Oryctolagus cuniculus: one gene and its partners. The protein of the gene in region 4 purifies or fractionates together with the protein of the main gene of each other region. This does not show direct contact. Links are inferred from orthologs where the notes say so. Each region holds a gene or a part of one and is shown on either strand. Other genes may lie near its edges.

What was found.
Region 1: the proteins of AP1B1 (region 4) and AP1M2 purify together in Homo sapiens (affinity purification with mass spectrometry; 3 studies listed by BioGRID and IntAct, counting the BioPlex papers as one, with this or other methods). This does not show direct contact. The link is inferred for Oryctolagus cuniculus from reciprocal best matches to the Homo sapiens genes AP1B1 and AP1M2.
Region 2: the proteins of AP1B1 (region 4) and AP1S1 fractionate together in Homo sapiens (co-fractionation; 6 studies listed by BioGRID and IntAct, with this or other methods). This does not show direct contact. The link is inferred for Oryctolagus cuniculus from reciprocal best matches to the Homo sapiens genes AP1B1 and AP1S1.
Region 3: the proteins of AP1B1 (region 4) and EPS15 purify together in Homo sapiens (affinity purification with mass spectrometry; 3 studies listed by BioGRID and IntAct, with this or other methods). This does not show direct contact. The link is inferred for Oryctolagus cuniculus from reciprocal best matches to the Homo sapiens genes AP1B1 and EPS15.
Region 5: the proteins of AP1B1 (region 4) and AP1G2 fractionate together in Homo sapiens (co-fractionation; 3 studies listed by BioGRID and IntAct, with this or other methods). This does not show direct contact. The link is inferred for Oryctolagus cuniculus from reciprocal best matches to the Homo sapiens genes AP1B1 and AP1G2.

Annotation. Positions count from the first base shown.
Region 1 is NC_091447.1:66,903,200-66,909,355, forward strand, and holds the start of AP1M2 (AP-1 complex subunit mu-2), read left to right. Parts: upstream 1-2,705; 5' UTR 2,706-2,822; coding exon 2,823-2,864; intron 2,865-4,699; coding exon 4,700-4,856; intron 4,857-5,022; coding exon 5,023-5,090; intron 5,091-6,156. UniProt on the Homo sapiens protein: Subunit of clathrin-associated adaptor protein complex 1 that plays a role in protein sorting in the trans-Golgi network (TGN) and endosomes.
Region 2 is NC_091450.1:43,213,911-43,220,017, forward strand, and holds the start of AP1S1 (AP-1 complex subunit sigma-1A), read left to right. Parts: upstream 1-1,906; 5' UTR 1,907-2,031; coding exon 2,032-2,034; intron 2,035-3,630; coding exon 3,631-3,809; intron 3,810-4,540; coding exon 4,541-4,649; intron 4,650-6,020; coding exon 6,021-6,107. UniProt on the Homo sapiens protein: Subunit of clathrin-associated adaptor protein complex 1 that plays a role in protein sorting in the late-Golgi/trans-Golgi network (TGN) and/or endosomes.
Region 3 is NC_091438.1:121,502,111-121,507,585, forward strand, and holds part of EPS15 (epidermal growth factor receptor substrate 15), read left to right. Parts: coding exon 1-16; intron 17-1,416; coding exon 1,417-1,573; intron 1,574-5,475. UniProt on the Homo sapiens protein: Involved in cell growth regulation. May be involved in the regulation of mitogenic signals and control of cell proliferation. Involved in the internalization of ligand-inducible receptors of the receptor tyrosine kinase (RTK) type, in particular EGFR.
Region 4 is NC_091452.1:22,803,815-22,809,826, forward strand, and holds the start of AP1B1 (AP-1 complex subunit beta-1), read right to left. Parts: upstream 3,619-6,012; 5' UTR 3,442-3,618; intron 1-3,441. UniProt on the Homo sapiens protein: Subunit of clathrin-associated adaptor protein complex 1 that plays a role in protein sorting in the late-Golgi/trans-Golgi network (TGN) and/or endosomes.
Region 5 is NC_091443.1:51,512,616-51,517,695, reverse strand, and holds part of AP1G2 (AP-1 complex subunit gamma-like 2), read right to left. Parts: intron 4,948-5,080; coding exon 4,871-4,947; intron 4,783-4,870; coding exon 4,687-4,782; intron 4,309-4,686; coding exon 4,228-4,308; intron 3,976-4,227; coding exon 3,877-3,975; intron 3,721-3,876; coding exon 3,665-3,720; intron 3,525-3,664; coding exon 3,411-3,524; intron 3,271-3,410; coding exon 3,130-3,270; intron 3,055-3,129; coding exon 3,000-3,054; intron 2,917-2,999; coding exon 2,794-2,916; intron 2,210-2,793; coding exon 2,120-2,209; intron 2,037-2,119; coding exon 1,909-2,036; intron 1,712-1,908; coding exon 1,607-1,711; intron 1,325-1,606; coding exon 1,198-1,324; intron 1,116-1,197; coding exon 980-1,115; intron 694-979; exon of another isoform or gene 485-693; intron 484-484; exon of another isoform or gene 390-483; coding exon 226-389; intron 61-225; coding exon 1-60.

The DNA of each region.
Region 1 (6,156 bases), on a different chromosome or scaffold from region 4:
AAAAAAAAAAAAAAAAAAAAAAAAGGTTGGGGGCCTAGGAGGTGAGGGCCTGTCCCCACCCGCATTGCCTTGGGGCACTTTTTTTTTTTTTGTAAATTATTTATTTGAAAGGCAGAGAGTCAGAGACAGACAGAGAGATCCTCCCTCTGCTGGTTCTCTCCCCCAAATGGCCACAACAGCCAGGGCTGGGCCAAGCTGAAGCCAGGAGCCAGGAGCTCCATCCGGGTCTCCCACGTGGGTGGCAGGGGCCCAGAGACTCGAGCCATCACCTGCTGGTTTCCCAGGCGCATCAGCCGGAAGCTGAGCCGGGATTGCCACCCAGGCCCGCTGCTGTGGGATGCAGGGGGTCGCAGGCCGCGTCTTCATGCTGCCCCAACACCCGCGCAGGAGTGAGGAATTCAATTGGCTGCCTCTCACCTGACTCTGTCAGCGCCCCCCCCCCCCCAGAGCTGATGAAGGTCTGGGGCTGAGTTTGGGGACAGGGAGATGTGGCTGGGCAGCAGGGGGTCACCCCTGGGGGCCTGCAGGCCCTCCTCCTCCATCAGTGGAGCCAGGGGAGTTTGGGCCAAGCTGAGATTTGCCCCCTCCCCAAACGGCCCTTCAGTTGAAACCACAGGAAGCCGTGGGGCTAAGCCATTGGTGTCATGGTGGCTGGAGTACCAGAGCGTGCCTGGAGCCGAGGCCCTGTGCCAGGCAGTCTGAGCAGGGAGCACATGGCGGTTGTACCCATTAAACAGAAAGAGAGACTGAGGCACAGGAAGTCCAGTCACCAGCCCATGCCTCGCAGCCAATGTACGGTGCAGTAAGGACTCGAAGATGCCTGCGTCCTGCACCGGAGGGCCTGCGTTTCAGTCCCATCTCCCGCCCCTGACCCCAGCTCCCAGCACATGCGCACCCCAGGAGGCAGCAGGTGACAGCGGCTCAAGTACCTGAGCCCCTGCTGTCCACATGGGAGACCTGGAGTGAGTTCTTAGCTTCTAACTCTGCCCCAGTCTAGTTCTGGTGCATGAGGGCCTGTGGGGAGAGGACCTGTGGATGGGAGTGTGCGCTCTCTCTCTCTCTCTCTCTCTTTTTTTTTTTGATAGGCAGAGTTAGACAGTGAGAGAGAGACAGAGAGAAAGGTCTTCCTTCCATTGGTTCACCCCCCAAATGGCTGCTACGGCCGGCGCTGCGCCTACCTGAAGCCAGGAGCCAAGAGCTCCATCCAGGTCTCCCACATGGGCGGCAGGAACCCAAGCGCTTGGGCCATCTTCCGCTGCCTTCCCAAGGGCATTAGCAGGGAGCTGGGTTGGAAGTGGAGCAGCCGGGGACTTGAACTGGAGCTCATCCGGGATGCCGGCGTCACAGTGGGTGGCTCAAACCACTGCACCGCAATGCCAGCCCCTCTCTGTCTGCGCCTCTTGAACACATCAATTAATGACAACTCAGATTGACTCGTGATCGCTGGTGTACGGGGCCCCTGTGACCCTCCCAGGGCGCCTGGGATGTGCGAGATTAGAGTCCTCGGTGTTCGCTTTTGGTTTTTCCGTTGCACCTCTCATCTCCCCTGGAGCAAGGGTGCCGGCTTTCTCTGCCCCGCCACGCACAGCACCGAGTAATTCACCAAGTCCCTAACAAAACAGCCGCCGTGTGGCCAGTTTAGCAAACAGCAGTTGCTCAATAATGAATCCTATTGTATAATACAGTCATCGTCATAAAGGACGTGCATGGGTCTCTTAAAGATCTACTTATTTATTTGAAAGGGAGAGAGAGAGAGAGAGAGAGAGAGAGAGAGAGAGAGAGAGAGAGGTCTTCCATCCACTGCTTCACTCCCCAAATGGCTGCAATGGCCGGAGCTGGGCCGATCCAAAGCCAGGAGCCAGGAGCTTCTTCCGATCTCCGGGAGGTGGCTTAACCCCCTGGGCCATAGGGCCGGCCCCAGACTTTGTCAATATCTAGCAATACCTATTTTTGTCAATAACAAATCCGGGTAACCTGGCTGGGCAGTGTGGTGGTGCTGGGTGTGGAGCTGCCTCCTGTAACATCGGCACCCCGGATCGGAGTGCCAGCTCGGGTCTCAGCTGCTCTGCGGCTTCCAGACTGGCTCCCCGCCAGTGGCCCACGCACCTGGGCCCCTGACACCCGGCTGGGACACCCGGGTGGAGTTCCTGGCTCCTGGTGTTGGCCTGGGCCAGCGCTGACCGTGGTGACCATTTGGAGAGTGAGTCAGTGGATGGAAGATCTCTCTCTCTCTGTCACTTTCTCTTTCAAGTAAGTAAATAAATAAACACATCTTTTTAGGAAAGAGCAACATTAGTAGCCAAACACCCTAAAGCATCTACATTTGACGTTTGCCCTTTGGCGAGCGCGGCCAGGTTCTGGCACTGAGTGGAAAACTCGCAGGGATAACATTTGCCGTCTGGACGAGGGAATTGGAGAAACGTGACGACCACACAGGGCACCTGGGCCACAAACATCACCAGGACCCTGGGCTGGCGTGGGACGCACGGCGCCTGAATGGATGGGTGAACGACTGGCGGGCTGCGCAGGTGGATATGGGGCGGGGTCCGGCCCTATAGGACCCCCGCCCGCCTGCATCGGGGTAAAGCGACCCAGGGCGGCTGTTCCTGGCGAAGCCGCCCCGCCCGCGGCCCCTCCCCGCCGTCGCCGCCTTTTGCGTCGGCCGACCGCGCCGCTCACCTGGGGGCCTCCCCTTTAAGGCGCGCTCACCTGGGCGCTCACCTGGGCGCGGGCGCTTCCGCAGGAAGGAGGAAGCCGCGCCGCCGTCGCCTCCCGGCGCTCGCTCCCCGCCTGCTGGCTCGGCCGCCCGCCCGCCCGCCACCATGTCCGCCTCGGCCGTGTTCATTCTCGACGTGAAGGGCAAGGTGAGGCCGGGCGCTCGGGCGGGCGACGGGCAGGGGCGGCCGCGGAGCGCGGCGTGGGAACTCCTCCGGCCCCCTCTCCGGCCCTGCAGCGCCTAGGGGTCGGGGGCCGCATCCCACCTCCGCCATGGGGTCCTCGCGCCCCCTCCACCCGGCCCTGCAGTCCCTGGGGGTCGGGGCTGCATCCCACCTCTGCCACGGGGTCCTCGCGCCCCCCTCCCTGGCCCTGCAGCCCCTGGGGGTCGGGGGTCACCACATCCCACCTCTGCGACGGGGTCCTCGCGCCCCCCCTCCCTGGCACTGCAGTCCCTAAGGGTCGGGGTCCCATCCCACCTCCGCCACGGGGTCCTCCTGCCCCCCCCACGCCCTGCAGTCCCTAGGGGTCGGGGGTCACATCCCACCTCCGGCACAGGGCCCTCTCGCCCCCCTCCCTGGCCCTGTAGCCCCTAGGGGTAGGGGGTCGCCGCATCCCACCTCTGCGAGGGGGTCCTCGCGCCCCCCTCCCCGGGCCCTGCAGTCCCTGGGGGTCGGGGTCGCATCCCACCTCCGCCACGGGGTCCTCCTGCCCCCCTCCCCGGGCCCTGCAGTCCCTGGGGGTCGGGGGTCGCATCCCACCTCTGCGACGGGGTCCTCCTGCCCCCCCACGCCCTGCAGTCCCTAGGGGTCGGGGGTCACATCCCACCTCCGGCACAGGGCCCTCTCGCCCCCCTCCCTGGCCCTGTAGCCCCTGGGGGTCGGGGGTCACCACATCCCACCTCTGCGACGGGCCCTCTTGCCCCCCTCCCCGGCCCTGCAGTCCCTAGGGGTCGGGGTCCCATCCCACCTCCACCACGGGGTCCTCCTGCCCCCCTCCACCCGGCCCTGCAGCCCCTAGGGGTCGGGGTCCCATCCCACCTCCACCACGGGGTCCTCGCGCCCCCTCCACCCGGCCCTGCAGCCCCTGGGGGTCGGGGTCCCATCCCACCTCCACCACGGGGTCCTCGCACCCCCCCTCCCCGGCCCTGCAGCCCCTGGGGGTCGGGGGCCGCATCCCACCTCCGCCATGGGTTAGCCCAGGCCCTGGCTTCTCCGAACCTCAGTTTCCCCGTGTGGAAAAGTGGGGACAAGAAACCCGCGGCCCAGGAGAATTGCACAAATGGGCGCATGGCAGCCGCTTGGCCCAGTAGCCCAAAGCCAGCCGCAGGCTCAGTTCAACCAGAGCCGAGTACCATCGTCCCCTCCGGGAGCGCGCGCCAGTTACTGGAAAACCGCATTCCAAGACGAGTTTGGTTTTGGTGCACTTAAAAAAAAAAAAAAAAATCCATGCATCGCTTTTTCCATAATACACATCTCCCGTGGACTCTCTGAAGGCTCCTGGTACTATGATTGATTACTGTTTGCTCCCTCCCAGGCAGAGCTGTAATGGCTCAAAGAAACACATAGGTATAGCTTTTCTTTCCTCTTTTTTTTTTTTTCCCCCTTACATAGTCCCAAACTCCCTGCTTTGGTGTAGGAAGCCCCGGGACCCCAGGCAGGGATTCTGCACCCAGGTGCACCGGTCGCAGCTCCCTTGCTTCACGTCCTTTGGATCTGGGGCTCTGGCCTCAACTTCCCCATCTACAAAATGGAGATGCTGACACCTGTCTTGCAGGATGGTGGCGGGAGTGGAATGCGTCGGCCAGCAGCCGGTCGCTGGTGGAGGGAAGGCTGGGGCTGGGCTGGGGCTGGGCTGGGCTGGGGGGGGGGGGTCTCCAGCCACCTGAGCAGCTGTTACCACGCACCCATGACGCCGAGAAGGCGGCAGAAGCTGAGACAGGCCCCACCGCTGGCCGTGACCGGTCCCCTCTGCCCGCCCGCAGCCCCTGATCAGCCGCAACTACAAGGGCGACGTGGCCATGAGCGAGATCGACCACTTCATGCCCCTGCTCATGCAGCAGGAGGAGGAGGGGTCCCTGGCCCCGCTGCTGAGCCACGGCCGGGTCCACTTCCTGTGGATCAAACACAGCAACCTCTACTGTATCCCACCCAGGCGGGGGTCCCTGGAGCCCAGGTGCTGGCTGCTCCGGCCCAGAGAGGGTGAGCAGAGGGTGGAAGTTGCACAGCATGGGTCAGGTGCGTGGGGGAGGTGGGGTCCGTTCCCGCCCTCAAAGGGTACCTTTTCCTTGACCCTTGCTGCCCCCAGTGGTGGCCACCACGTTGAAGAACGCCAACGCTTCCCTGGTATACTCCTTCCTTTATAAGACAGTGGAGGTAGGTACTGGTGTCTCATAGGCTGGCCGCCCTGTCCGTCATTTATTTTGCCCGCCCCTTTCAGGGGCCATCTCTCTCAGGAAGGCTTCCATAGGCTGGGGTATCAAAACCCCAGCCCAGCTGTGTCTCATTTGCTTGTGGGAGCAGGCACCAGGGAGGCCCCTGTGGGTGTGGGCAACTGAGCCAGAGAGCTTGGGGTCTGGTGCCAGCTGCCCTACTTCCTGGCTGTGTGACCTTGGGCGAGTCACTGCTCCTCTCTGTGCCCCTAAGCTGGGGGGGGGGGGTTATGACAAGTCTAACACCCCGCAGAGAGGGGCGGGCTCTTGGCACAGCTGTTGAGATGCCGCCGGGGCACCCACACATCAGAGTGCTGGGGTTTGAGTCCCCGCTCTGCTTCCAGTCCAGCCCTGTGCTGGTGCACACCCTGGGAGGCAGGGTGGCAGATGGGGAAGGTTCTCCTGTTGTGCACTGAGGAGAGGGCTACCCATGGCTCCTTGGTCAGCAGAGGGCCTTACCCATGGGCAGTGCGGGGCTCCAGGACTGCGGCTGCAGGGCGGGACCTGGAGGGAGCCTGAGATGGGCAAGAGTGCACTCATGGCTGCTTCTGTGTCCTGCAGCTACAACCTGTCCTGCCTACTCCCCAAGGCCCTGAGTTAGCCACCTCCCAGGCTGTGCATTCGCAGGGAGCTGGAGTTGGGGCAGAGTTGCTGGGATAAGAGGGGTCTTACCTGCTGTGCCAAATGCCCCCTCCCACTGGGGGCTCTTAACCAGTGGGCCCCAGGCCCGCAAGGGCTCGTGGGTAGGATTCTGCACAGCCATGAACTTGGGTGTTGCTGTAAAGCACAGTCCCTTTTCCATCTCCATGTGTGCATGTGTGTGAGGTGCTATTTATTTATTTGAAAGGCAGAGTGATCGATCGAGATCGATCTTCCATTGCTGGTTCCCTCCCCCAAATGGCTGCAGCAGCCAGGGCAGGGCCAGGCCAGAGCCAGGAGCCCAAAATTCCACCCAGGGCCCAAGCGCTCGGGCCGTCGTCCGCTGCTTTCCCAGGTGCATAGGCAGGGAG
Region 2 (6,107 bases), on a different chromosome or scaffold from region 4:
CGCCTGGTGATGGCCCTGGGCTGCTTGAACTTATGGCAGAAAGTAGACAGATGAGTGGGTGTGTGCAGGTAGAGAGAATGCCACGGGTGGACTCACTTACTAACCACCCACTCCCTGGATCACTAACCCAGTCCCACGAGAGTGAGAATCCACACATAAAGCACTGATTCTTCCTGAAGACCTCCCAAGTCTGCCACACGGAAGAACTGAGTTTCTAACACACGAACTTTTGGGCGACACAGACACACCCCATTGCTATCACCACCTGGATCCTAATTGAGGCTAACCAACCAGCTGCGTGCTGGCAAGAAACGGAGGCAGTCTATGACACCAGCCCAGCGGGCACTTACAGTCCAGGGGAGAGAGGAGGCCGAGTCACACGGGCAGTCAGTGGTCACCACAGCAGGGTAATAGAGTCAGCCGGGTAGAACTCTTGGTAACAGGCAGCAGAAACAAGTCTGGCTGATGGAGCGCTGTGGGGAGAGGGGCGGGCAGAGAGGGAGGCTCAGGGAACCAGGACAGCCAGAGACCCAGGTTGGAGGGGGGTCCCACACTAGCAACAACCCCCGCCTTGTGCCCGTGCCCCCACCCACCCCTTCACTGGACACCATCCCTGCCGCCCTGGACCCACTGACCCTCTGCGGGAGCCGTACCTACCCCCCATCACGTCACACCCACCTCCTTCCCCTCCTGGCCCAAAATCTAGAAAGGTGCCCCTCAAAGACGGGCAGGGCTCTGCGGTGGCGGGGGCGGGGGGTGGAGCTGGACATTTCAAAGGCTCCCTTGCGGGGGCAGTGGTTGGCCCATCTCCCCCTAGACTCACAAAGCGGGGGGACTCCCAAACTCCAAGGCGGGGGTTGAGAGCCTGAGAGGTGACACAGAATGACAAACACCCACCACCGAAAGCATCCAATTGTTCAGGGCTGTTAGAACAGCACACGGATTGCTCGGGAAGAAATAAAAGGAGTTTAAAAAAAAATAGAGATGATTGCAAATGACACTACGCACTCCCTCGTTAGTCACTTAATAGCTGTCTCGGTTATCAACTTGACGGGTGCCGCATCACGGTGCGTGCGTTCAAGTAACTCTTAATAATGGCCCCAAAAGGCAAGAGTAGTGATAAGGGCAATTTTCTCCCAGCATATTGTTATAATTTTTCCATTTCAACCTCTTACGGTGCCTTATTTATAGATTAAACTCTATCAGAGCCTTGGGTTATGGGGTGGGGGGAGACACGGTCTATCTATGCACACGGCTTCAGGTCTATCTGCAGGGGTCTCGGAGCACAGCCTAGGAGAGGAGGAGGGGTCCCGGCCACGTTGCCCATCGGGACACCACGTCACGGCCTCTCTCGGCCCTCGGACACACACACACACACACACACACACACGCGTGATGCAACTGGGTCTAAGGTATCGGAGCCTTGGGATTCTGGCCCCACTGACCCTCCGAGCCTCTATTTCTCTTTTACATTCCCTGGGGGCGCCCCTTCCTGTGTTGCATTCCTCTCGCTTCAAGAGAGGCCAGCGTCTCGAAGCTTCTCCACAGACGGCGCGCGCCCCGTCCGTCTCGCCACCCCGCCGCCCAGTTAGCCACAGCCTTTTGCCCCTTCCCACACCTAACGCCCACCCTGGGCCTCCTCACCAACTCCCAGGACCACCCCACCCACCTCGCACCCCTTTTCCCGCCTTTTGCCCCCACAAGGCCCCGAAGCGCGAGGACCACGCCGGCCTCCTCCCCCATCCTCCGAGCCAACCCACGGGGGCAGCTTGTTTCCATGACGACCGAGCTACTCGAAGCCGAAGTCGAGGACCTGGTTGCCATGGCTTCCGCTTCTCCGCCTCCAGCCCCGCCCGCGCGGCCCCCGGCGCCGGCGCATGCGCAGAGCGCCGCGCGGTGGCACTCCGGGCCTGGGCGGGACGGGGCGGGGCTTCAGCCGAGAGGGAGGGAAGAAGGCGAGAGGATAAGAAAGGGAGTGGAGCTGGCGCCTACGGTGGCCGAAGAGGGACGCGCCGAGCCGGAGGCTGCAGGATGGTAGGCTGTGCGAAGAGCGAGGGGAGGGGGAGCCGAGGAGCGTGGGCTGCACCTGCGGGGGTCCTCGGGGGCCGCCCTCGGAGTGAGCCGCTTTTTCTTCCCTCTGGTCCTCAGAGGGCCTCCCTTAGCTGGGCGAGTGGGCGAGCCGGCCTCGGAAGCCAGAGCTGGAAATGGCACTCGGGAGGGAGCGACGCGGGGAGGGGGCGCCTGTGTGGGACGGGAGGAGGCTGACTAGAGGGCGGCGGGACGGTCGGGAGCCGGGAGGCGCTCTCGGGTCTCCGGGCAAGGGGTCCCGACCTCGGCCGCAGGGAAGCCGGGCGAGGGAGAGAGGGGCGCGGGCGGCCGTGTCCGCGAGGGAGGGAGCGGGGTCACCGAGACCCTTACTCCGGGGCGGCCCGCACCTGCGCGGGGGCCGCGGGGCGCGCGCGGTGTGCGAGGGAGTAGTTTCCGGGTCCGGGAGTGCCCGTCCTGCCCCGGTTCTTGGCCATGCTTGCGGGGAGGCCGGGCCGAGGTGGGGAGGTGGAGTGGGCTCCAGGTTTTGCTCCCGGGGACCCGGGTTCTGGGCTCCCCAGATCTGGTGCTCCTCGCTGTCCAGCCCGCCCCCGTCCCACTCTCTTTCCGGCACCCAGGCCTTCCGTCTTCCTGCTCCTTCGCCGCCACCTGCTTATCTTAGCCCCACACGGATCCCCTGTCCCTGCTCCCCCTCCCCCCAAATAATCCAGTTCTCTCGAACCCTGATTCTTGCCCCTTAAGCTACTACTACTGCACACACCCAGGGGTTCCAGCTCTGGTAGCGTCCATGGGAAGACTCCAGGATGTGGCTCTGGACTCCCAGCTGGGCAGCTGGGGATGCACTTCTCACTACCCAGCTTTCTCTGGGTCCACACACGTTTCCTAGGGGAGCCACCCTGGGTGTGCAGCTCCTAACTGGAATGGGCTCCGGGTGTCTGGGGAGGCGTGGGCTGTCAGAAGCACCCACTGGGAAAGGAAAGAAAAGTTAAGAGGAGCATAGCAGGAATGCTGGATGGCTGCAGAGAGTTGGCTGAGCGTGCCAACATCAGGTGGGCTGTTGGGGGTACTGCGCTGGGCACGGGGCTGGCCCTGGGGGGCAGGGCAAGCTTGGGACATCAGTAGGCAAAGGATGGAAGATTGAGGTAGCCTCTGGAGGCACAAAACACCCAGCTTCTGCCCAGGGCAGTGTGGAAGAGGGTATCCCTGTGCTGTCAGCTGTGTGCTGCCCTAGTCACTGTAGTGTGCATTTCACTCTGGGTAACAGGGTTAGGAAGAGGAGGCCGGGGAATAACAGTGCGAATACGTAATGTGCTACAGCGCCTGCCTTGTGCCAACCACCGTCATCAGCTCCTTTGATCCCTCCTAACAACTCCGTAAGGATGTCCTTACAGTTAGGGAAACTGAGACCTGGCGGCAGAAAGTAATTTGCCAAGGCCATGCCCGACCGGTAGAGCCGGGATTTGACCCGAGCGACAGACACAGGCCGTCTGCTGATGGGAGCACCCCAGTCGACAGCAAGGGGCTGAGTAGAAAAAGGGCAGGGCTCCCTGACGGTCGGCTCCGCTTCTCCCTCCCCACCCCCAGATGCGGTTCATGCTGCTGTTCAGCCGGCAGGGAAAGCTGCGCCTGCAGAAGTGGTACCTGGCCACGTCCGACAAGGAGAGGAAGAAGATGGTGCGGGAGCTCATGCAGGTGGTTCTGGCCCGCAAGCCCAAGATGTGCAGCTTCCTGGAGTGGCGAGACCTCAAAGTCGTCTACAAGAGGTGACCCCTCCCACACACACGCACACGCACCTGCACCTGCACCTGCAGCCGGCCATACCTGGGTTCTGCTGGGCTCAGATGCTGAGACATAAGTGGTGAGGGAAGGCTGGGAGCTAAGGACCTGTGGGTGACAATGACGCATGGGCCCAAGCACTTGGGCCATCCTCCACTGCACTCCCTGGCCACAGCAGAGAGCTGGCCTGGAAGAGGGGCAACCAGGACAGAATCCGGCTCCCCGACCTAGACTAGAACCCGGTGTGCCGGCGCCGCAAGGCGGAGGATTAGCCTAGTGAGCCGCGGCGCCGGCCCCTCTACATGGTTTTGCTCAAGCCAGACACCTGCCCCATGCCCATCCCTCTGTCGCTTGCTGTAGACCCCACCTTTCTGGAACGCACCTGGCTTCTAGTCCCAGAGGCCCTGCCTCACGCTGTGCAGTGTGCACGCGCTCACACACGATTTCTGCCTCCTCCTCCTCTTCCCCTTCCTCCTCCTCCTCCTCCTCAGAGCAGGTAATTAGTTGGCTCAGGTTTTTGCTGAGTCAGTCTGAGCGGGTCAGAGGGCAAGAAGGAAACGAGCACGTGTCTTTGCTGGTTACTGAGAAGCCCTTAGTTACCCTTTGCCCTGGGGTCTCCAGCCCCGTGGTCAGCCAGAGCAGAGACCCTGGGCTGGTCGCCCCGGATGCGTGGGTGCTGAAGCCAGCTGCCAGCCAAGCCTGCTGTGCCCTCCCTCAGATACGCCAGCCTCTACTTCTGCTGCGCCATCGAGGGCCAAGACAATGAGCTCATCACGCTGGAGCTGATCCACCGGTACGTGGAGCTCCTGGACAAATACTTCGGCAGCGTAAGTCTCCCCCTGGCCCACCAATGCCAGCTTCCATGCCCAGTGGTCCCCTCTTTCTGCTCTCCCTTGAGGCCCTCCTAGTCTCTGCCCCAGAAGTCTCAGGGCAGAGGTCAAGCTGGAAGCAGTAAGAGCGGTAATTAATCCCCCTTTTTAAGCTGTAAGCCTATTAGCCGTCCCTTAATCAGCCCTCAAGCCAGGAGTGGGGGGAGAGAGGGGGTTGCGGATCTGGCGCTCGGTCACGGATGGCGCTGCTCGCTCGGACTTCTCACCCAAGGACGGCGACCAGGTTCCGATTTTATCAGCGGATCTCGTCCTTGGCTTTGCACGGAAGAGGTTTTAAAAATAGCAGTGCCCCCATCCCAGCCCCCAGAGGTTCGGGGGGGAGGGTTAGCCTGGGCATTGGCAGGCAGCTCAGATCTTTGATGGGGAGTAGCAATGACCCCGCCATCTGTGTCCCATCTCACCATTTACAAAGTGCTTTTCAAGCTCTCCCGCCTGCTCCCCAGCCTGTCCCCTACGTAGGTGTTGGGCTCCCTGTTTTCAGCTGAGACGTCCAGCTGCTGCAGCTCTGCCCGGCTGCAATGTGCGTCTTCTACCCCATGGTCCACAGTCTGCTCCTGGCCCGCCACGCCGTGCCTGGGGAGGGAGGCTGGCCCAGCCTCTGGTGGGAACAGTGTGACGGATTTTGCCAGAAGGGCAGCAGGAACTGCAGCCAGGCGTAGATGAGGACAAATGTTTCATGACCGGGCAGGAAGAGGCAAGGGGAGGGGAAGAAAAAGCCAAAGCGAGTATAAGGCCTGGGAGTTAGGAGCCCGTGAGACCTGGAAAAACCCAGGCTGGGGAGAGTGGCCGTGAGAAACCTGGGGGTGGGGGTGGGGTGTATCTACTGCGAGAATGGGGACCAGGCTTGGGGACCAGACGGTCAACATTCCAGAAAATACCAGCTTCACTCCGGAGGGACACATAGTCACGTCAGTGTAGAACAAGTCTCCTTGCTAAGAAAAGAGACTTGGGGTTCACAAGTGGTGGGGAAGTGGAAAGGACCTGGCTCCCGTGTGAACCATCACGGGGGTTACCAGATGTGGGGTGCATGCCCCCTTCCTCATCAGTGTGAGGAGGGCAGATCCCTTACTGAGATCCAAAATCTCTGGGGGGAGAATTACACCTGCAGGGTTGGACCGAGGCCTGGTGTCACCTGCCGAGTGTCTTGCGCCCCCAAAGATGAGTTAATCCTTGAAGGAAGCAACCCTGAACTTGCCTCCCTCGCACCTGTTTTCCTGGAGGAGGGTCTGGGGGTGGTGTCTGCGTCTGGGGTGCCGGGCAGGTGGTGCCAGCCCGTCCCGCTCAGCCCGACCTCGGCCCCATTCCCAGGTGTGCGAACTGGACATCATCTTCAACTTCGAGAAAGCCTACTTCATCTTGGACGAGTTTCTGATGGGAGGAGATGTCCAGGACACT
Region 3 (5,475 bases), on a different chromosome or scaffold from region 4:
TACTGGCTCATATTTGGTAAGACTTGAATTTAAATTTCTTTATTAAACTTGTATAGAAAAATTTAGAGTAGTGGACAGCAGCTTGAGAATTGGTTACCTGAAGCTTTATAAGATTGACAGTACCAGTTAATTGCTATTGGAATGTTCAAATGTAACATCTCTCTGTAATATCAGTTAAACTTAAAATTTTAAGGGAGAATCTAAATATCTGAAATTTTAATAACAGTATCAGAAATTTAGACAATATATTCTGTTTTGAATAACAGATATTTAAATGACAGTATAAAGATATTTCTTCAAGGCACAGCCATATAATTCTGTAAGGTATATGTATGCTTACACACTTTATATAGGGATATAACAGTTGATTCATATAAAAGACAGACCTAAGTGTCTTTAATTAATTTCACATTAAGTAAGATAATATTTATGAAAATATTTTGTAACATGCCTTTTACCAATCAGAGGTCATCTTGAGACAGCAAATATCAAAAGTTGAGCCACATAGTTGTAGAGAAGCTTAGAACTAAGAAAAGAGGATGGTAGATTTGTTTCAAAAAAAGCATGGACTGAAGACTGAGAAGGATTAAGTATACGTAAGTTCGGGGTGCTGGACTAGATACTGTGCTCAGTAGATGGCCACTGTCACAGAAACTAAGAACTTGGAGAGATTAAAAATTGTGACCAAGGACACAAGAAGAAATAAGAAAATAATGGAATTCAAGGCCTGTTTGAGACTGTAACCCATAGTCCTTTCATCAGGCCACATTGGCTTTCAATAAAATATTTCAAATGAAATCTGTTTTTAAACAGGTTAGGACTTTAGAAAACTGAGCTTTAAAAAGAAAAGGAAAATAGAACGAGACATTTGCTGTTTCTCTTCAAGTGATTTTGTAAAGCTTTCCAGATTGCTGCCTTCTCCTCACATGTGATCTCCATTTGCAGCTGTTCTTTCTGCTTTGACTCGGTGATCCTTGTACCCTCCTACTCCAAGGCTTGCAGGAAGCCAGATGATGTGGAAATTTTTCCTTGTCTCAGAGCCACTCTAATGCTGTCAACTAGCCAGAATTGTTGACGCTTAGGTTTAATCTTGAACAAGTCATGTTAAAAATTTGGGTAACAGGAAATGTTGGGATTCTTTGGCCCACCACAGCTCTTACTTTGTTGTGTTTCTAGAATTTGTTAATAAGTACAAAGTAAATCCAGATTAGAGGCCCCTGCTCAGCACTAGGTGAATTAGTTCCACTTTAGTATCTTAACTGGTCTATCTCTTCTAATATTTGAGCTGAGTTTTGGACAAGCTGCAACTTGGCCTTTTTAATTCAAGTGATTATTTTTAAAAAGACACATACTTGTGGTTTTCTTCTGGGTTTTTAGGATGGCATTGTGATGTTTATAAACTGTTTATTTATACAGGGCATTATGTGACCCAAAGAGCTGTGGGAAACTTTCAAAAGATCAGTTTGCCTTGGCTTTTCACTTAATCAATCAAAAGTTAATAAAAGGCATTGATCCTCCTCTCATTCTCACTCCTGAGATGATTCCACCATCAGATAGGACGAGTTTACAAAAGGTAAGACAACTTAAAAACAAAAAACAAAACAAAAACCCTGAAGCATTAACACAAAGTTGCAAGTACCATGTCAGATGGCAGATTGTATTCAGATAAAACACTGGAGAATAAGTATCTGGGCAGGAGCAGAGCAGTGTAATGTTTGTGCTTATTTTGTACCTCTAGATATGCTTGAGTGCCTTGTATAACATCTTTGACCTGCAACTGTTTATTCCCACCACTCATTACACATCCAACAATTATATTTTCTAATCTTAAAATTGGAAAAATATGGCTTTATTTTTCCTCCCTGGATTTGTGATTTATTTTTAATTAATATAGTATAAATGTTAAGTAACAGGTACAAGAATTAAATTACTATTTCATCTAATGATTTACTCTTATAGAAAAAAGGGTATAAATTAAATTTGAAAACAAAGTCTAGGAGATGACGATTACTTGGTATCAGTTTTACATCAAAAAAGTACCTAAGGAAAACCTTATATTGAGACTAAATCTATAGGTTTTGTGGTGTCCCCCCCCCCCCCATAGATGATTCTTTATTCCTGAGTCTATAGGTGACTATCTGAATAGCCAGGAGCAAATTTTAGCTACATTTCCTTTCTGAGTAGCAGTGGGAATGTTCATAATTGTTGTTTTAGCCACGTTGTGCCTTGATTTTTCTCTCCTCAGCCAGAAACCTTTTGGGGAATAATGCATTCACAGGATCTTTAAAATGACTAGCATAATATAGTACCTATTTGTCTTTTTTTTTCTTTTTTTTTTTTAAATTTTTTGACAGGCAGAGTGGACAATGAGAGAGAGAGACAGAGACAAAGGTCTTCCTTTGCCGTTGGTTCACCCTCCAATGGCCGCCACGGCTGGCGCGCTGCGGCCAGCGCACCGCGCTGATCCAAAGGCAGGAGCCAGGTGCTTATCCTGGTCTCCCATGGGGTGCAGGGCCCAAGGACTTGAGCCATCCTCCACTGCACTGCCGGGCCACAGCAGAGAGCTGGTCTGGAAGAGAGGCAACCGGGACAGAATCCGGCGCCCCGACCGGGACTAGAACCCGGTGGCCGGCGCCACAAGGCAGAGGATTAGCCTATTGAGCTGCGGCGCTGGCCATACCTATTTGTCTTTAAAAATAATTCTTGATGATTCTTCAGGGCTGTGTATTATAGGAGCTGTCAAATGTCTGGTTTGAGGAGAGGTCCATCTCCAAACCAATAGGATATTTTGGTTTCATGTTAATTTTTTCAGATGGATTTTTTAAAATCCCACTTAAACAACCTAATAAAAGTAAAAATTCCTGAGGGGTAAGTGTTTGGCTCAACTGTTGGTATACCTGCATCCTGTATTGAAATGACTGGTTTGAGTCCTGCCTGTTCTGCTTCCCATCCAGCTTCCTGCTGGTGCACATCCTGAGAGACAGCAAGTAATGCCTCAGATACTTGAGTCCCTGCCACTTTTGTGGGAGACCTAGACTGAGTTCCAGGCTCCTGGCTTTGCCCCAGCCTACCCCATGCAAATGTGGGCATTTGGAGAATGACCAATAGATAGAAGAGCTGTCTTTCTCCCCGTCTGTGTCTTTCAAGTAAAGTGAAAATAAATAAATAGCAATTTAAGAAAACAAGGCAAAATTGGATGTTTTCCCTAAGTAAACTGAATGGAATTTATAATACTCATTATAGAGTGTTACTTATTGGAATTTTGCTCTTTATTTTTTTTTAATTAATTAAAAAGCCAGACAGAGTACCTATCTACTTGTTGACTCCCCCCAGTTCCCACAGTGGCCGAGGCTGAACCAGAGCCAGGCTTGATCCAGGTGTTGCGAACGCAAGCTAGAGCTTTCACATGGGTAGCAGTAACCCAATTATTTGAGGTATTACTGGTTCCTCCCAGGGCTGCATTAGTAGGAACATGGAATCAGGAGTGGAGCCAAGAACTAAACCCAGGCCCTCTGGTATGGGGCATCTTAACAGCTAGGCTAAATGCCCACTCCCTGCCTTTATTCTTTTTTTTTTTAAGTTTTTATTTTTTATTTGAGAGTTAAGAGTTAAAGACAGTGAGAGGGAGAGACAGAGAGAAAGGTCTTCCTTCTGTTGGTTCACTCCCCAAATGGCCACAAAGGCTGGAGTCGTGCCGATCTGAAGCCAGGAGCCAGGAGTTTCTTCCTGGTCTCCCACTGTGGGTGCAGGAGCCCAAGGACTTGGGCCATCTTCTACTGCTTTCCCAGGCCCTAGCAGAGAGCTGGACTGGAAGAGGAGCAACCGGGACTAGAACTGGCACCCACATGGGATGCAGGCGTTACAGGCGGAGGATTAACCTACTGTGCCACGGCGCCAGCCCCTCTCCTTATTCTTAATAAAATAAATACCCGATTATCTGCTTTGTGAGATATTCAAGAGGGAGGAATGTTTTGTGATTATTTTTGGGTTCCTTGTGATGTACGACATAGGTTCCATAAATTGCAGAGAAGGCTTAAGTGATGTTACCGGGAAGATAAAAGTTACTGAATTTGTATTTATGCTCTCTGTAACTGTATCTCAGTTATGGCATAATTTTTTTCTAATAGGCAGAGTTAGACAGTGAGAGAGAGAGAGAGATGGAGAGAAAGGTCTTCCTTCCGTTGGTTCATCCCCCAAATGGCCGCTATGGCCGGTGCGCTGCAGCCAGTGCACTGCGCTGATCTGAAGCCAGGAGCCAGGTGCTTCCTCCTGGTCTCCCATGCGTATGCAGGGCCCAAGCACCTGGGCCATCCTCCAGTGCCCCATCCAGGACTAGAACCCGGTGCCGACACCACAGGCGGAGGATTAGCCAAGTGAGCCGCAGCACCGGCCAGGCATAATGTTTTGTTTTGTCTTTTGTTTCACTGATCTGGACTGTTTTTTTCTTACTGTTTGCGTTTTATAACCTTTTGTCTCCAACCAACACAAATTACAGATATAAAACAGCTTTCTAAAGCAAATTATTTTTGTTCATTGAAGGCTCTCTAATAATAGTAGGTACTTGAAGTTATAACTGGAAAGCAAAATGTTTATTTAGTAGATTTCTCTGAGGTCTGTTCAGTAGAGCATAGACATTGCAGATATCAGTATTGTTCATTGAGGTAGAGTTTCATCACTGATGTCTTATCTATTAACCAAAAATTATAACTTTAAAAAACTAAAATTTGCATTTGTCTTACCTTACAGATAATTGCTTTTCTCTTTGTAACCTGATTTTTTAAAAATATTGCACTTTTTGCAGCTTTGACTAATCCTTTTCCAAATGTTGCTTTCCTTTCTGTGTTTTTTTCTAGTTTGGACTGTTTTTTCCATTCTGCAACACTGCTTCTCGCCTTTCTTGTACTGTCAGTTTCTTAACTCTACTCTATCAAGGTTAGACTTTTATTTTTTGCCTCTTTTTTAGCATTGTGTTTTTTGGTTTACGTGATACATTTTGAAATTAGAGGTGTTTTTTTTTTTTTTTAATGCATTAAAGTTGGTGAAGAGAAAATACCTGCACAGCATGCTTTTGTCACATGTCACTTGGTCCTTGTGTGCGTATTAGCTTGCCTTCACTTGGCTCTCTGACCCACTTAAAATCACCAAAATGGAATTTTTGTATAATGCACAAAACAGGGTGAGAGAAGATATTTTGAAAGAAGGGTATGTGCTCTATTTTTCTTTGTATACTCTTCATTTGCTGCATAAAATATGTGCTGAATTTTTTTCCATGCTTCCTTGATGCATGTCATTTTAGAGTCATTGGGGGTATCACTTTCTAACTGATTTGAGGTTAAACTAATTTGTCTCGCTTTGTCTTCTTTGATGCTGTTTTTCATAGCAAAAGACTCAGATGTGAGTCACTCTTTGAGTTACAGTGATGGAAGAGGTATAAAAGTCATGAGTTTTTTGGTACACTTGTACCTCTGAGAGCAA
Region 4 (6,012 bases):
TGAGAGAGAGAGAGAAAGGTCTTCCTTTTCCATTGGTTCACCCCCAGATGGCTGCTATGGCCGGCGTACTGCACTGATCCAAAGCCAGGAGCCAGGAGCTTCCTCCTGGTCTCCCATGCAGGTGCAGGGCCCAAGGACTTGGACCATCCTCCACTGCCTTTTCGGGCCACAGCAGAGCTGGACTGGAAGAGGAGCAACCGGGACTAGAACCTGGAGTGCCGGCGCTGCAGGCAGAGGATTAGCCTAGTGAACCACAGCGCCGGCCAGAGAATTTTTTCTATAAAGGATTCCAATTGCTTGGGTGACATTTTTCTTTCTGGGGTATTTGTTCCTCTCTATGTGAAGAGATAAAGAACAGGAAAATCATTTCTGGACTGTGATAACATCACTGACCTATCTTAGGCCCGCCCGGAAAAAGCAAATTCTTCAAGGAACAGATGACAGCTCAACTTTGAGAAACACACCCCAGCTCCCTGAAGGCCTGCTGAGCTGGGGGTTTTCTGGGAAGCCAGCAGTTAAGACAAGCGCTAGTTTCAGAGGACAGCTGGAGAACGATCAAAGTCCAAGGCCAGGGCCAGCAGGACCAACAGACCAAGCAGTTCTGAAACACTTTTAGGAAATGAAACAAAAAGGGTGGGAGACGTTCTGAAGACAGAGAGGCCTCTGTCTGCAGAGGGAAGTAACGCCCAGACGTCCGCAGTCACAGGCCCCAGTGCGAGTTAACTGGCTGCGACCAAGGTACCCACAGGCTCTGCACAAATTTCCTCATTGAACCCGAACACAAGGCAGGGGTGGAGGGAGAGGGGCAGTATTAGTTCAGAGCGGAGTTAAAGGAGCCCCAGCCCAGGTAAATCACCCAGGTCACAGGAGCTGGAAGCCAGGACCCACTGGGTTGGACGGCACTTTCCATCAGACCTGAGGGAGACCTTCAAGCCGCTCAGGGAGGAGCCCCTGCCCAACTCTCACACTCGGCAACCCTGAGACCCAGTGGAGCCGGTCCTCACGCCATCTGAGCGGTGAGAGCTCAACTCAGGGCACAGATGACCTGTGCTCTCTCATGTTCCCGCCTTCTGTGACAAGTCACTTTATCCCGATTCTTCCCTTGGAAGGAGGAGGATAAGGTGACAATATTAAGTTTCTGTGAAGTCAGTGGCACTAGGAGAACAGATCATAGAGTTAAAGAGAATACCAGTACTACCCTAACATTTCTATCAGAGCTTTTTTTTTTTTTTTTGACAGAGTTAGACAGAGAGAAAGGTCTTCCTTCCGTTGGTTCACCCCCAAAATGGCCACTACGGCCGGAGCTATGCCGATCCGAAGCCAGTAGCTTCCTCCCAGTCTCCCATGCGGGTGCAGGGCCCAAGCACTTGGGCCGTCCTCCACTGCCGTCCCAGGCCACAGCAGAGAGCTGGACTGAAAGAGGAGCAACCGGGACTAGAACCCAGCGCCATATGGGATGCCGGCGCCACAGGTGGAGGATTAACCAAGTGAACCACGGCGCCAGCCCTCTATCAGAGCTTTCTTCAAAAGCAGGTGGACACCGCACAGGGAGATTAACGGTTAAGACACCTAAGAGGGGCCAGCACTGTGGCGTAGCGGGTGAAGCTGCAGCCCGCAAGCTGGTATTCCATATGAGTGCTGGTTCGAGTCCCTGCTGCTCCACTTCTGATCCAGCTCCCGGCTCTTGTGCCTAGGAAAGCATCGGAGGATGGCCCAAGTCCTTGGGCCTCTGCACCCACGTGGGAAACCCGGAAGAGGACTCTGGCTCCTAGCTTCGGCCTGGCCCAACCCTGACCACTGTGGCCATCTGGGGAGTGAGCTAGTAGATGGAAGATCTCTCTTTCTCCCTCTCTCTGTAACTGTGCCTTTCAAATTATTTATTTGAAAGGCAGAGGCAGAGAAAGAGTGCAAGTGAGAAGTCTTCCATCCGCTGGTTCTCTCCCCAAATGGCCACAACAGCCAGGAGCTTCTTCCGGGTCTCCCACACAGGTTGCAAGGGTCCAAGGACTTGGGCCATCTTCCACTTCTTTCTCAGGCCATAGCAGAGAGCTGGATCAGAAATGGTGCGGCCAAAACTCAAACTAGCACTCACATGGAATGCCGGTAGTACAGGAAGCGGCTTTACCCAGTACGCCACAGTGTCAGCTCCTAAAATAAATCTTAAAAAAAAAAAAAAAAAGACACCAGGAGAGGGTAGGAAGGCAGCAGGTCTTTCTCACGCTGCTGTCTGGGAAACTGAGGCGGAAGTGCAGTGGTCACTATCTGGAAGAAAGCTCAGACACAGAGCCTGACCCTCGGCCACCAAGCGTCTCCTCTCCCAGGCAGGACCACGTGGGCTCTGCACACTTCTCAGAGGGGCGAAGACTTCCCTCTGGGTACACGCTTCCACACCCAAGACCCCCTGATGGTCATCTGGGTGCCCTCTTTATTCCAAAAGGAAAGCAGTTCTTGAGCTACTTCTCAAGAGATCCGAACCATCGGCTTCACGGATAACCCGTTCGGGGTCTCACAGTTCCCAACAGTCAGGAAAACCTTCAACGCGTGCCCCTGCAAGATCACTTACAACAGCCTGCCCGGCTGCCTCACGGTGAAGAAAGCAAACCAAATGCCCCTTAGGAAAGATCAGGCAATAAGGGCACGTCTTGACCCTGACCCACGCCCCTAAAAATATGAACCAGCCCCTCACGCCCGATCACGGCGCCCCTCTCTCCATGGTCTCTGTACTTTGAGGCCCCGAACGCCTAAGCAGGAACCCTGGCTCTGCCCCTCCTGCCCAACTGGCCTTCCATGCGTGATCTGACCTCCCTGGATAAAAGGGGGACGAAACACCAGCGCCCTGGCAAAGGACTCGATGTGCACTGTACGTAAAGCGCTCGGCACAGCTGCGCACACACAGTAGGAGCTCAAGACTCAGCAGGGGGTCCTCAGTATCTCTTAGCATTGTTTTCAGACGTCCCCATGCCGTCCACTCGTCCCCGGAGCGCCAACGGACAGACCAAGCCCAAGTCCACCCGGGCGGCACAAGGCTGGTTTTTTCTTTTCTAACTTTAATTTTTCCTTTCTGAACCTCGGCCCTGGACGCCGACGAGGCCTCGGGATGACCACGGGGGTAACGGTGAAAAGGGAAACCAGAGCCCGCAGAGGAGCTTCCCCCACCCGGCCAGAGACGGGAGTCTCGGGGCCTAAGGTCCGGGAGTCTCCGGGCGGGCGCCCCGAGAGCGCCTACGGACACGGGGCGCCCGCGGTCCGGGCCGGCGGCCAAGCGGGCGCGAATGAATGAACCCGAGTCCTTCCGCCCCGTCCGGCCCCGGGACGCCGCCGCGCGCCCACGGCGCCGCGTCCTCCCCGTGACCTCTGACCCCCACAAACCCCTCACCTCAGACCCCCCGACGCCCCCACGCCGCTCCTTCTGCTACCTCGCGGCGCCCCCTGCTTCCTCACCGGCAAGTCCGAACGGCTCCTGGAGCCACGGCTCGGTTCGGCTCGGCAGCAAAATGTCCGCGGCCTCCTGCTCCTCCTCCCACCCTGCCGGTGCGTCCGTGCCGCCGGCTGCTCCGAGCCCCGCGGCTGTCACCTGCCGGGCGGAAGTGAGCTGCCCGCGCGCGGGCACTTCCGGTGGACGCACGGCCGGGGGGCGGGATCAAGGGTACGACGCGGGCAGGGGAGGGGCCCGGGGAGGGGCGGGTGCGAGTGCAGGGAAGGGGGCGGAGCCTGCGGGCAGGCACTTCTGCGAGGCCGCGGCGCTGTCTCCGCCGAGGTCTTGGAAAAGCCACGCAGCTGCGTACTAGTGGCGGCGGCCACCCCGTTCCTGACTGCGGCACACCGTGCATCTGCTCCTGCTAGATACTGTCTGCTCATCCCGCTTTCAAACGCCGCTCGCCCAGGAGGCCGCAGGGGGTGGTCCTGCACCGGGTCCCCGCCGCCCACCTGGATGCCCGGCTCCTGGCTTCTGCCTGGTCCGGCTGCAGCCCAGGAGAGAACCAGGGAGATGGGAGGCCTCTCTGCCTTTCAAATAAAAAAAATAAAAATTGCATTGCAGAGCAGGGAAAACCCACTGGTAACCAAAGCGAAGATAAAAGTTCACCTTCAATCTCACTTCCCTGAGATAATCACTTCCAATATTTTGGGGAAGGTTCTTTTAGGCTTGATGATATGGTTTGATTTTCTTTAAAAAGTTTTTTTAATTGAATTTTTAAATTTATTTGAAAGGTAGTGTGAGAGAGAGCAAGAGAGAGAGGGACAGACTGGCTGGTTCACTCCCTCAATGCCCTCAAAAGCCAGGGTTGTTCCAGGCTGAGGCCGGGGGCCTGGAGCGCCATCCAGGTCTCCCAGGTGGGTGGCAGGGACCAGGTTCTTGGCACCATCACGGCTGCCGGCCAGCAGGAAGCCGGGGCTGGAGCTGAGCAGGACTTGAACCCAGACCCTCCAGCAGTGGATGCAGGCCAATCACGTGGTCTTCCCGCAGCCCCGGGTGCCTGCCCCTCACTCACCAAGATTATGCTAAAAAAAAGTCCTGAAACAATGAGCACATTTCTTTCTCCGTGGTGTTTTCTGCCCTTGTGTGGATGGCACCTCTCTTCTCTGAAGCGATCCCCTAAGGTTGTACATCAGGTTGGTATTAATTTTTTTTTTTTTTTTGACAGGCAGAATGGACAGTGAGAGAGAGAGACAGAGAAAAAGGTCTTCCTTTTGCCGTTGGTTCACCCTCCAATGGCCGCCGCGGCCGGCGGGCTGCAGCCAGCGCATCGCACTGATCCAATGCCAGGAGCCAGGTGCTTCTCCTGGTCTCCCATGGGGTGCAGGGCCCAAGCACTTGGGCCATCCTCCACTGCCTTCCCGGGCCACAGCAGAGAGCTGGACTGGAAGAGGGGCAACCGGGACAGAATCCGGCGCCCCGACCGGGACTAGAACCTGGTGTGCCGGCGCCGCAAGGTGGAGGATTAGTCTAGTGAGCCGCAGCGCTGGCCATATTTTTAATATTACAAAAACTTAATAAATAAGCTTGTAAGCCAAGTCTGTATGTTCCATCTAATACATATATAATTGATTCAATATTCAATACACATTTGTGCTTCAACGGTCTTAAACAGTTTCTGAAATTTTTTGTTTTGAAATAATTGTAGGGGCTGGTGCTGTGGCGTAGCAGGTAAAGCCTCCACCTGCGGTGCTGGCATCCTGTATGGGTGCCGGTTCGAGTCCCAACTGTTCCACTTCCGATCCAGCTCTCTGCTGTGGCCTGGGAAAGCAGTAGAAGATGACCCAAGTCCTTGGGCCCCTGCACCCACGTGGGAGACCCGGAAGAAGCTCCTGGCTCCTGGCTTCAGATCAGCCAGCTCTGGCCATTGCAGCCATCTGGGGAGTGAACCAGCGGATAGAAGACCTCTCTCTCTCTCTCTCTCTCTCTCTCTCTGCCTCTCCTTCTCTCTGTGTGTAAATCTGACTTTCAAATAAATAAATAAATCTTTCTTTAAAAAAAAAAGAATTATAGACTTACAGGAGATTACAGAAGCCATATAAAAAGAGTCCCGTGTACCCCACACTCAGTTTCCCTCAAGGACAACCTTTTACCTGTCCGTAGTAGGATATCAAAACTATCGCTACTGGTCAGGGTCAGTGCCGGGGCTCACTTGGTTAATCCTCTGCCTGCGGTACTGGCATGCCATATGGGCTCCAGGTTCTAGTCCCGGTTGCTCCTCTTCCAGTCCAGCTCTCTGCTGTGGCCCGGGAAGGCAGTGGAGGATGGCCCAAGTGCTTGGGCCCTGCACCCAAAGGGAGACCAGGAGGAAGCACCTGGCTTCGGATCCGACCCTAGCGGCCATTTAGGGGGTGAACCAATGGAAAAAGGAAGACCTTTCTCTCTGTCTCTCTCTCTCTCTCACTGTCTAACTCTGCCTGTCAAAAATAATAATAATAAAAAAAAACTCTACCTGTCAAATTAAAAAAAAAAACTATTGCTATTGGTAAAGTATTATCTCTAACCTACAGACCTTTGCTGTTTCTAAATCACTTTCT
Region 5 (5,080 bases), on a different chromosome or scaffold from region 4:
CAGGCTGCTCCGAGCTGGAACCGTGTCCCCACTGGGGGCCTGCAGCTGCAGCTGCAAACTCTGGGCACAGGCGGTTTGGAGAGAGCCTCCAGTCACGGTGCTTCCAGACCGCTTTCCCGTCAGCCCCCGAGTGCCCGTCTCGGTCTGTCTCCAGCCACCCCCTCTACTTTAAGGCCTTTTCTCCTGGAGTGCCCAGGCCACGTCTGAACCCCGATCTTTACAAACCTTGGGCACAGCAGCCTGGCAGGTGAAATGGGTGACGTCACCCCCCGAGGAGTTGGTGGTGGTGACGGTGATCAGGAGCAAAGCAGGAGTTTCAGGTGGTCGAATGAAAGAGAGGTTCAGCTGTACCCCATCACGCTCAAACGCTTTGCAGTCGGGGATGGCAGCTAGGGTTGGGAGAGAGGCCGCTCAGTGGGCAGGCTGAGAACATGTTCGTTCGTCCATTTTTTCCTCCATTCAGCACCATCTCAGCGAGACTTACTGGTAGTGGCAAAGTAGACAGGAACGTGAGGTTGGCGCTTACACTCGGGGGCGGTGGGGAGAAACAATAAAGGAAGGAAGCCAGACCAGCACAGGCCGTAAGTGGTATTGTGAAGGTGAAATTATGCCGGGATTAACTGGGAAGACTGCAAGAGGAGTGGCAGGGAAAGGCAGCCGGCATTGAGCTGAGGACTGAGCCGGTCTGAAGTGCTGAGGAAAGAACACCCCATATAAAAAGAACTTGAGTCACCAAGCGCATGGCCAGGGAGCGTTTGAGGAGTGAGGGCCAGTGGAGTAGTGATGGGGGTTGTGGCATGAGATGGGCGGGGCCCACAGGCCAAGGTAAAAAGACAAAAGAGAGGCGTGATAGAGTGACCCCTCCCCCTGCTGGGAAGGGGCTGGGGGACCCAGGCGTGGGAAGGGTGACGAGCCTCGGTCCCTGGCTCAGGACCAGGAGCAGCCTTCTCTGAGGCGTCTTCCCTCTGCTGCAGCTCACCTGGGGGTGCAGGTGCACAGGGAAGGTCGAGGAGGTGTACTAAGGTGCCTCCAGGGGGGGGATCCTGAGGAGGCGGGCATGGGGCCTCCCCAGAAGAGCCGTCCAGGAGGTGCAGCAGATCCAAGAGCTTGGAGGCCTGGGCCAAGGACGGAAGGCTCAGGGCTGGGTGTGGAGGCTCCACCCAGGCCGCCTCATCCCAGGGTTTCTGCCTCCCTCACCTGGGGCTCTGCGGGGACAGGGGCCGCGGCTTCCGAAAGCTGGGCAGCCTTGTTGCTTTCCTTTTCTTCCTCTTCAACCCGAGTGCCGCCTCGCTCCACCAGAGGCATCCTTTCAAGAATGGCAGCCCTGAGAGGTGGGAGGGTGGGTGGGTCTCTCTGGGTGGAACAGGAAGCATCTGGGGGTGGGGGCCGTGGCACAGGGCACCGTGGCACAGGGCGGGTCAGAGGGGCCTTTGTGAGTTCCTGAGACAGCGCGCTGTTGCTGGGTTTCACGTGAGCCCGGAGGGCTGGAAGCCAGCACAGCATCGGAGAGCCTCGGGGGGGCTCCCACGTGGATGGGGAAGGCCACAGGCGAGGATGAGACCCTTGGACCGAGTAAGACCGCACTGCAGCGGGCTGCCAGGCACACCTCATGTGGTCGTACTTCCGGAAGAGCGTGTTATACTCCACAGCCCGCTGCTGCAGCTCCACGTCCACGCAGCTCCCGTAGATGGACACCACCTGGCGGATGCGGCTGCGCCACAGTGCGGCACGTGAGTGGCAGTGGCAGTGAGCCCTGCCCTGTGCTCCACGCTCTGGCAGGGCCGGGAGAGGCTGCACAGAGTAAGGAGACCCCTGGGATAGCTGGCCCTAGGGACAGGGGAACAGTGGGGCCTGTGTCTGCAGGGGTGCTCAGCGAAGGGAGTCTCAAGGGCTCGGCCCCCTCCTCACTTGTTGTCCCCGCGGAACCGGGTGCTGAGCTTCATGAGGGCCGTGAGGGCGTAGGCTCTGGTGGCTGGCAGGGACAGATGGGACTGCAGCACCTTTTCCAACAGTGCCAACACCTCCTCTTCTTCCACCTTCGGGCGTGGATGAGGTAGTGAGCCTGGGCCCAGCCCTGCCCACCCTGTCCCTCTCCAGTGAACCCCCACGCAGGTCTCACCTGAAGGGGTTCAGTTTCCTCGCAGTTTCCCTCTAATAAGAGGTCCCCAAATTCCCCAATGCACCAGGCTGCCACCTGCACCAGCGGTTGCTGTGTGGGATGAGAAACACCACAGGTCAGTGTCTGGGTCAGTCCCACACTCTGCAGCCTCCCTAGGTAGTGCAGAGATAGTGGAGCTTGGCAGGGTGGGAAGAGGTGACTTTGATAGCTGGCTCTGTCCTGGTGTCCAGGCGCCCACTGCCCTCTGGTGGCCAAGCATTATAACTACATGGCCTAAACGCACTATGGTGGCAGAGGGTCCCCAGAGGAAGGGGTAGTGGTTTCGGCCCACCGGGCTTAAGGTGAAAAAGGACACTACAGATGCTGGCTGGCATCGGTTAATCACTCAGCATTCAAGGGAATAGCAACATCGAAGACGTGCAGAATGAGCTTTGATCTGATCTGATGCTCACGGCAGCTATGGGGGACAGGCAGGGTAGAAGGAACTTAAATAAAGTCCCATTAGTCATCTGTGGTTACACAGCCAGTAGGTAGCAAGGCCAGGACAGAAGCCCAGTGTTCTCACTAAAAAACAGCCCTGGCCTTGGGTGTCTCCTGCACCAAGTAGCTGCGACATGGATTGGGATGGAGGAAGCAGGTGGGCAGCCCTGGGCCTGGGAAGATGGGATCGGTACCTGGGAGATATCATTTGCCAGGGCACTGTAGAGGCGGCACACTGAGTAGGCGTGTAACTCCCGGGCCCCCCCAATCAGCTGGATCAGGTTGGCCACTGCGTCATCCCGCACATGGGTGCCTACCTGGAGGGGTGGGAGGACACAGCCAGGTCACTATGCTCAGCTCTGCCCACTCCTCCCCGCTCCCTGGCCAGCCCCCACCTCACCGTTGTCAGCACGTGCAGGATGGTGTCTATGTGCCACCGTTTGCTTGGAGCGAACCTGGGGGACATGGCTCATCAGGGCTGACCCTGCCGAGACTCGCCCCGCTCTGCTTCCCTGCACTTGTCGCCTCACCTTTCCGCAGCCAGCAGGATGCCCGAGGCACAGTCAGCCCGGAGGTCAGGCGGGCAGTACTCCAGGAAGGCCTGCAGCTCCCGAATCATGGCTCGCACATTTGAGCTATTCACCAGGGCCAAGCTCAGCTCCAGGGCCCGCCTGGAGGGAAAAAGACAAGTGCCTAAGCGGACCCTCCCCTGCTCCAGGCAGCTGTCCCTGTAATGCCCTTGCTGCAGGTGCTCTGAGTTGCTCTGGGCCCTCTCCCCTGCTGCCCTGGTGAACCCTTGCTCTCCGCTCACCGGCTGAGGGAGGCGTCGGTTTCCTGCAGACACTCCACCACCGTGGGCCGGTGCCGCTGCACGGCCCCGTGGTCGGACTGCACCAGCCGCAGCAGCGATGTCAGGGCCACATACCTGCTCGGGGTGGGGGGTGGGGGGCGGGGAGGCTCTATCATGCCATGGCCATCAGCCCGCAGCCCCGGTGAGAGGGAGGTGGATGAGGGGGCTCTGGAGGACACGGTGGCACAGCCCAGCCAGACACCTGGGTCTGTTACCTAATGTTCTTGTCACTGTTGAGCAGGAAGCGGCCAAGAATGTTGACAGCTAGGACCTAAGGGAGGCGGCGGTCAGGGGAGGAGCAACCCGCTCATTCAGGGGCAGGGACCCCGGGGCACAGGATGACGGGGTAGGAAGGAGAGACCAGTGAACAGGACCCGAGTGCCTGGCCGGGGGGCAGTAGGCGGGCCACAGTGGGACAGGCCGATACCCGCAGGCCGGCTGCAGAGCGGATGTCCATGATGGTGAGCACGGTCTCAAACAGGATGGCGCTGCCCGCGTTGCGGCTGGTGTCTGTGTTAGTGGCCACCTGAGCGGACAGTAAGGAGAGCTCCATCTGCATGGGGCCCCGCAAGGTCTCTACCACGTCATCTCTCCACCCCTCAGCCATCCAAAGGAGTGGCCGCCAGGTGCTAAGGCCAGACTGGGCGCTAAAGATTGAGCCCTCCTGCAGGGAGCCCACTGTCTTGAGGGGACGGGGAGGGCAAGGTCAGGCGAGGGGTGCACAGGGCTGGGGTAACACAGCAGCATAGCTGACCCATGCCCCTCCCCAGCGCCCCACCTGGGCCAGCAAGTCATTCATGGCCTCGCTGCTCTCCTCGTGGCTCCGGCCCAGAATGCGAAGCAGACGAAGTATCTGCACCTGTGGTTGGGTTAAAGGTTGAAAGGCGGATATGAGAAAGGAGCACGGGGCTGGTGACCCAAAGGGCAGTGTTGTGAGGGGTCTGGCCGTGCCCTGGAGCTCTGCGTGCCTCTCCTTCCTCCACAGGCCCCTTGAACCCTGGGAGGGATCACAGGTGGGCGAGGCCAGTGGAATCCAGTAGACTTTTTCCATGGTTACCAACCTGGACGTTCTGACCTCTCTGTGCCTCATCTCTCCACCAGAGCAGTCCTGCACCTGCTGTCCTCCTACTCAGGACACTGCCAGAGCCCAGGTGTTCTCTGAGAGGTGACCAGTGGCCCTGGTCTTACTGCAAAGCCCTCTCCGCTCCAAGGAGGCAGCAGGGAGAGGTCGGCCCACCTGCAGGAAGGGGTCGCTGACTCCAGCGATGCTGTGTTCTGCAGAGTAGCCGGTGGTCACGAGGGTCCGGAGGATCTGCACCAGTTGGGGCACCACCTGGAGGGAGGGCACCGCCCTGCCTGGGCCTTCTTAATTCTCCAAACCAGAGGTCCACTCCTCCCCAGCTGCCCCTGCACCTGCCCACCTTTCGGAAGTGCCTGAGGGCTGCAGGACTTTGTTCACAGAGCTCGGTGATCAGCGTCATGGTGGTCAGCAGGATGCCTGGGGGCGGGGCAGGGAGAGTCTGCTGTGTGTGCATGTGCATGTGGGGGTGGGTGCGGGGCGGGGTGTGTGTGTGTGTGTGTGCCCTGCCCTTCTCCTTGGAGCTAGTGTTCCTGTCCCATTTTTTCACTTC